Neurospora crassa OR74A: one gene and its partner. The protein of the gene in region 2 binds, or shares a complex with, the protein of the main gene of each other region. Links are inferred from orthologs where the notes say so. Each region holds a gene or a part of one and is shown on either strand. Other genes may lie near its edges.

Region 1 (3,176 bases), on a different chromosome or scaffold from region 2:
GCAGTTCCCTCTCAACCCCACGCTGTTACTGGGCACAAGCATCCAGACTAGCAGGGCGAGGAGGTGGCAGGTGTTGCCGGGCAGGACGCATCCGTTGATGACGGAGCGCGGTGGTGCGGATGGATATATCTTTACTGGATGGAGAGCGAAGCCAGCGGAGGGCAAGATTGCGGCCAAGGGCAAATTTAAGAGGAGAAAGGTGGAGGAGAGCGTTTCGACGCCGGCTTCGGCATGAGTGGATTGGTCGGAAAGAGTTATTTATGGGAGTTCAAGGATGCCACTTCTCTCCCCGTGCATCGGAAGATCTCACACAGAGGTTTCCACGGAAGCAATGAGGTCGAGGGAAAGTCAGAAAGGAAAAGACAGTTAGAGCGTTTCGAGGCTCGCTTACAGTAGGTGGACTCGACCAGCCGAGGAGGAGTGGAGGCGACCATGGGTTTAAATGATTATGCTTTGTCCATGAAAGGCGGGCAAACAATGAGCAGGAGTCTGATAGTGGTAGCAGTTAGGAGAACCAGCATGACCGATATGCATAGATCTCGTTTGCTCTTAGATACCATTTGCACGAAATAGAGCTGCAGTAATTCTACTAATCGAACGTCAACTGGAGATATAACCCATGTCGCTCATGATCGGGTTTCAAGTGTATGTGTACTCGATCTATGCCTGATCGAACCGGACCACGCAAAAACAACAACAACTGAAAGTCTTGCTCGCTCGCCCCAACACACCCTCACACTCTAGGAAACTTGAAATATTATTTGTGTAGAGTACGTATTATACTTTGGCGCTAAACGATTCCATGCAACGCCATCTGAACAGGGAAGGCATCGCATCAGAGTCCCTTGCCCATGAACTTCCTCTTGGTAAAGCTCAACCACCACTTGCTCGGCTTGTCCTCGGTCTCGTCGTCGTACACGCGCGCCAATAACCTCTGCGCCAGTTCCTGCCGGACCTGCGACAGGTACTGACGGAGGACTTCTGCGTCTTGACGGTCGCGGGGGGGTTCATACATCTGTTTTGCGTCAAACTTATTAGCTGCCATCCATTTTCTTGTTCACCGCCGCGGGCCACATCTACTCCCATCACATTCACCGTATTCTATCTCCGCCCTAAATCCTTTACGCCAAAAAAACTCACCTGATTCAAAGGCCACCCAGGATCGCCCGGCAACGCAAAGTTCACATCCAGCGCCGCATTGTTCACTTCCTTCGTCGCCTCCCTAACGCCATAGTGCGGCTTGATGCGGCCCAGACAGTCGCTGATGTACCAGATGCCGTAGACCAGCAGGCGGTCGGCGGGGCCCTGGATCTCAAAGTTGCGGAAAAAGGTGTTGGCGCGGAAGAGAGCTAGCGTCTCGTCCAGAATGTCGTATGACTCCGAGTCCGGGTCGGGCGACTCGTTGGCGGCGAGCGGAGGGTCCGGGAAGGGGAGAGGGTAGATCGGCCCGCGGATCTTGGTGCGAAGCGGGAAGAGAGGGAAGTTGCCGATTAGGCGGGGGGAGGGGTCGGCGTTGAAGACGGAGTTGTAGGCCTAGAGAGTGGCGTCGTTAGTTGAGAGATTGAGAATGGGAATTTGTGTGTGAGGTGAGGCGAGAGGCGAAGAAATGCGATTGGGCGCAAAGCGGTTCGTGGTGTTGTGGGTGGTGGTGATGCGATCATGGACGAAGCTTTGTCTGACGATTAAGGGGTAGCTGGCTGGCTGGCTGGTATAGCTTGGGGAAGCTATACGCATAGCGGCTGGGTGTTGGGAGCTTGCGAATGGGTGCGCTTACCGGCATTGTGACGGTTGGTGTCAAGCTCCCTCTATGAAGCTATTACCAGATTAAGCAAATGGTGTTCAAGTTGGAAGTTAGGTAAATCTGGGATGTCGTGTTGACTTGACCGCGTCCGGGTTCTATGGCGCAGCCTTGCGGGGTGATGGGGTCAATTGGACTTGGGCTGGCCTTCCTGGACCTGCAGCGTGCCAGCGATGGGCGATGGCGGCTTCTCCTGCGCTGACGTCGAGCTGGCGGTGACGACCGCTGCTTGCACCGTGCCGCTGTGACGGACTCTGTGACAGTAGAGCTGGACTTGGTCTGTGCGTTACCTTTCTATTTGAATTTGTGGCTCAGCAGTGGCTGTGTCCGGACTCCGGATGAGGCCTGGTACAGTCAATGAAGCACTCCCGGTTCCCATCACGTGTAGAGTTACCGGAGCCGGCCTCGTCATCGGACAGGCAGCAGCTCGCTTGACTCCGATAAAGTGGATCTTTGCGGCCTGAAGTGGAGCCACCTAGTCCCGGGGGAATCGGAAGGTCTTGCACAATGCATCATCTGAAGGAGGAGAGCGAATGTGAACAAGTCAAAATGCCACTCCATTGGTATACAGAGGAAGATTCAGTTACACAAAGACTCTTCACGTGTCATGTAGTCAGCCACCGCGTTCGACGTGAGCGCCCGCTTTCCATGCAACTTAAGCTGCTGTGTCTCGGAATCCAGACAAAGAGCAGGACTCCATGCTCAAGATGGTGTTCCAAGGATCCATCCCATCATTACTCATTATGGCGGAATTTTTCAAGGAAGAAGATTGACCGAGGTTCACGCCGTGGTCGAGTCCAACAACCTGGAAGAGAGCCAACACCTGAATGTTGGTTGGATAGGACGAAGTTCAACACCGTGAACGCCGCGCTGCGCCCACCGCTGCCTGTTTGAACAACAGGGGGGCCCGTCGTCAAGGAGAGAGGAGAAGACTCAGAAAGCAGAAACATTGAAGAAACAAGAGGGGATGCCAAGACAATAAGTCACGGGAGCTCGTGTGCTAGCGCGTCGTAGATGATGAAATCAGCCAGCAGTCCAGACTTGGCTGGCTGTTGTTGGCGCAATTGTTCATCCGACGCAAATCCGGCCGGGGACTGCCACACACCCGACAGGCACACCACCAGTCGAGAGCGCTACTACGCTGCTTAGAGGTACTGTGATAGTAGTGTACGCACCAACGCGGAATCAAAAGCGCCGTCGTGCGCCGTCCACTGAGAAAGGGTGATGGAGGGGTATTTGGGGTTCTCCAGTCCCATCACATCACTCACTGCGTCACGGTTCTCTCCTCTACCTACAACTGCCTTCTTCAATCGTTCATTAAAACCAGCCCTCCGCTTCTTCACGCCCAAAGACAAACACAAGAACCCGGACAAACCCC
Region 2 (3,860 bases):
GAGAGGCTGGGCAGTCACCGCCCGTCTGTTTTGTGTTTGAAGATGCTCTCGGGAATTTGGAGAAAATAAACTATATAACCGGGCACAAGATACACACTGAAGGGATCATGCTGGGAGGGCTGGATGATGTTTTGAATGAAGGAATTGGATCAAGTTCATCGACTCACATTTCGGTTTCGGAGGCATGTCATCTGAGCCGTACCCGATCTGCACGGGCCCGGGGGGAAAACCACTGTGAGACTCGGGAATGGATGAGCGGAGACGGTGTGTTAGCGTGGCCGGTAGCTGGGCGATGGAAGCCGGGCTTGAGAGTTTGGAGAAATCGAGTAAAGATGGCCGGTGAGGATCTGGGAACACGACAGGTCTGGGGATTTTGACGACGAGCTGGATTGATATTGTTGTCGCAAAGGCAAGAACAAAGTGACACACGAAGGAAAACAATAACATCAATTACCCTTTTCGTCACCAGCGACATGTCAGGCTAGCAGAGATCTGATGATGTTTGCTTCTGTTAGTGTGTCAGCTCTGATAAGCCACTGTATCGCCGCCAGCCTTAGCGTACCGTATCGATGTCCAACAAGTGGGGGTGGACCATTTCACCTTTCCGTCTTCCCGATGTTTGTCCGGGACCGTCCCGTTCCGCTGTCCGCATCTTGCTTGATGTTGGCGCCGTTGTGATATTGGGGACTTCTTTCATGGTATCCCAAAAGACCATGACTCTTGACACAAGGCCATTGTTCGATTTCTCCTGTCGGGACCAACAAAATTACACCAGCCCAAGCAAGCTCTAACAAACTCTCGCATTATCCTTTATTTACCTACCAACGGAAAACATTATATCGCCTGCTATTGTAGTCTAAACAGCTTCACCCTCGGTAGTCCCTTACCTAGGACCCAACTTCTCCAACACCCTCGCGCCCTGTTCTTCCCACTCCTGCTTCGTAATCCACATGCTCTCCTTATCCGCCATGATATTCGCCAGCACCGCACCACCCAAGAAGACCATATGCCTTCTTCTCGGCGGGTCCTCGATCCTGACCTTGAACTTGCTCAGCCTCTCGGGGTTGCCTCCCAGCACGCGCGTCAACCACAGCTGCTTCAGTTCCTTCTCCAGTCTGCTTGGAAGGCCGGGGTACATGCTGGAACCACCCGACAGGACGATCGCCTTGAATAGCGAGGAGCGCACGTCAACATCGGCGGCCTGGATGGTGTTGAAGAGGAATTCGGCGATACCCGGCTGGTCGCAATCCACCAAGTGCGGCTGGAACAAGCACTCGGGGGCCTCGAACCGCTCGGAGCCGACGCGGATGACGCGGCCGTCGGGAAGGGTGTAGCTCTCGACGAGGACGGTGGTATCTTCGGACAGGCGCTTGTCGAGCTCGAGGTCGTACGAGACGTAGCAGAGCTTTTCCTTGATCTGGCGGACGGTCTCGAAGTCGGCAGTACGGTTGAGGGCGTAGCCGCGGCGGAGAAGGAGGGCGATCAGGTTGCGGGTGACGTCGCGGCCGGCCACATCGAGGCGGCGGGTAAGGTGGTTGAGGACCACGGATTCGTAGACAGGAACGATATGCGTGACACCGTCGCCCGAGTCGACTACGACACCAGAGGAGAGACCTGCGCGTTGTCTGTCAGCTACTTGTTTCCTCAAGTCGCCGTGTAAAGGAGCGGTGACATACCCTGAGCATACAATGCCAGCACCGCCTGGATAGCGACATAGACACCCCCAAAGTCGTAGCGCTCAAACATGACTTCGGTCATCTGCTCCCTGTTCTTCAACGGGTTCAAAGGCGGCTCCGTCAACAAGATCTTTCTTCCCCGCGTATCGACCTTCATCTTCTCGTGAAAAGTGTAGTCCCATAGGTGCTGCATGTCGTCCCACTTCTTGACGATGCCGTTCTCCATCGGGTAGCTGATTTGGAGCATGGTACGGGCGGCCGCGGCCTCGTCACCGCACATGATGTCTTTGATCACAATGTCGGAGGAGTCGGAAAGCGATTTGGCTTCTTCGGCGCGGAGAATGGGGCGGCCGACTATCGAGGGGTATTGGAATTCGGGGAAATTCTGGGCGGCGTAGCCGACCTTGAGGAAGCCGGTACCGCCATCGAGGACTGTGTTCGAGGGGGGAAGTGTTAGCTGGGCGCTGTGCTCATTTTGTTGTTGTGAAGTGGAAGTGATTGAGGACGGAGTCCGACGGCTACAGCTGCCATGGCGACGGTGATGACGCGGTCAGGCAGATGGGTGGGTGGTGGTGGTGTTGGTGGTCGTCAAGGTAGCTTGAGCTCGAGACACCAGATGGATAAGGGGTTGTTGGCGGAGAGAAGAGCTGACGTACCAATGGGAGCGTCGGTGTTGGCCATGCTGGGCGGCTGTTTGGTTTGGTAACTTTCAATGGAGTTGCGAATAGCTTCGTCGGGGTTTCGAATATCGAGTGTATATCGGAGCTAGAATGGAAAGCTCCCGCGGGTGAATCAACAGGAACCAAGTGTCGGTGGTCCCGTCGGTCGGTCGGTGCAGTGGTGTCGGTGCCCTGTCCGGGTTACGGTAGCGAAGTGGACTACGGCACCGTAATTAGCTGGAGTCCAGCGCGGTAGCCTAGCTGGGGGGGTAGCATCGATATGTGGGGTCATTCGCTAACTGCCAAGCTTTCCTTCAAACAGGGCGCCGCTCGTCTGAGCCAAAATAAAGGAGACGAGCGAGCAGGCTAGGTAAACCAGTTCACTAGACGTCAAGATCATAGAAAAGACCGCTGCAAGACCGTGACAGGGAATATAACAATTCAAAAAGACCTCAGCTAGAGCCCTATTTACACATTTTCATTCTGTAATTGCCTAGAACTTGAGAGTCAGCAGTATACCCAAGGAGCCAAGGTATCATGTCAAAGGTCTCGATTATTTTGACCAGGACGAGCGCCGATGACAAGCGGGTCTTGGCAGGATTCTGGACCCCAAGGAAGTGGCAGGCATTAGGGTACCCACGTGATACCCCGCATGAGACTCGCACTTGTACCTTCAGTAGTACATGCACCTTGTTGGGCATCGTGAGAGATCAGACGGGATGGATTGTGCATTTGAGAGTGGAGATTGATATTGGTTCTTCCCGTCCCTTCTTTTTTTGATTCTTCATTTGTGGTTATCAGACCCTTTGTTGCCTTATTCTTTCTCACTCAGGCCGTCGATACAATCGGTATTTTACCAACTCATTACGATACTAGTAGGTTGTTCCCATTCAGGTTCTACCATCGTCAATCTTTCAAACTGAGTACTTCATGATACCTCCCAAAATGGACTCAGACCTGACTATTTCCCTCTCAGACCATTTATCGATTCACCTCACTCACTCACCCCCCTTCCTTCGTCAACATGACTACCGCCCAGCAAGAACCAATCAGGATCCTGATCCTCAACCCCAACTCCTCCAAGTCCATGACCGATGGCATGGCAAAGTCTATTTCCAGCCTAAACCTCCCCGACGTCTGTCTTCCCTTCTCTCCTCCACCCCTAATAACCGAAAACGTGGACTAACACCCCCCTCCAGAACATCAAAATCACCTACTACACAGCCCCTACCTCTTGTCCAGCCAGCATCAACAACGGCACCGACCTGGATACCTCCGCCACCCACGTCCTCCAAGACCTCAGCAGCAACCTTCAACTCCTCAAAGACCACGACGCCGTCCTAGTATGCTGCTACTCCGTGCACCAACTCGTCCCCGGCCTCTCGGAACTCGCTTCATCCAACGGCTTTCCCCTCTCCGTCACGGGCATCTTTGAAGCATCCGTCCTCACTTGCCTGTCGCTGCTCACGGGCCCGACGAAGAAATGGGGCATTGTCACGACGGGCAAGTACTGGGAGGAGCACCT

What was found. Proteins that work in one complex are often made in the same cells at the same time.
Region 1: arp2 (region 2) and NCU09572 share a complex: the UniProt entries of both Saccharomyces cerevisiae proteins name them as parts of the arp2/3 complex. The link is inferred for Neurospora crassa OR74A from reciprocal best matches to the Saccharomyces cerevisiae genes ARP2 and ARC18.

The regions. Positions count from the first base shown.
Region 1 is NC_026507.1:963,372-966,547, reverse strand, and holds NCU09572 (ARP2/3 complex 21 kDa subunit), read right to left. Parts: upstream 2,035-3,176; 5' UTR 1,781-2,034; coding exon 1,775-1,780; intron 1,534-1,774; coding exon 1,141-1,533; intron 1,016-1,140; coding exon 836-1,015; 3' UTR 501-835; downstream 1-500. Other genes in the region: NCU09571 (tRNA (adenine-N(1)-)-methyltransferase non-catalytic subunit trm6), read left to right, coding at 1-235. UniProt on the Saccharomyces cerevisiae protein: Functions as a component of the Arp2/3 complex which is involved in regulation of actin polymerization and together with an activating nucleation-promoting factor (NPF) mediates the formation of branched actin networks.
Region 2 is NC_026505.1:6,357,608-6,361,467, forward strand, and holds arp2 (actin-6), read right to left. Parts: upstream 2,561-3,860; 5' UTR 2,358-2,560; coding exon 2,333-2,357; intron 2,109-2,332; coding exon 1,677-2,108; intron 1,615-1,676; coding exon 884-1,614; 3' UTR 501-883; downstream 1-500. Other genes in the region: NCU07170 (hydantoin racemase), read left to right, coding at 3,360-3,470, 3,535-3,860. UniProt on the Saccharomyces cerevisiae protein: Functions as ATP-binding component of the Arp2/3 complex which is involved in regulation of actin polymerization and together with an activating nucleation-promoting factor (NPF) mediates the formation of branched actin networks.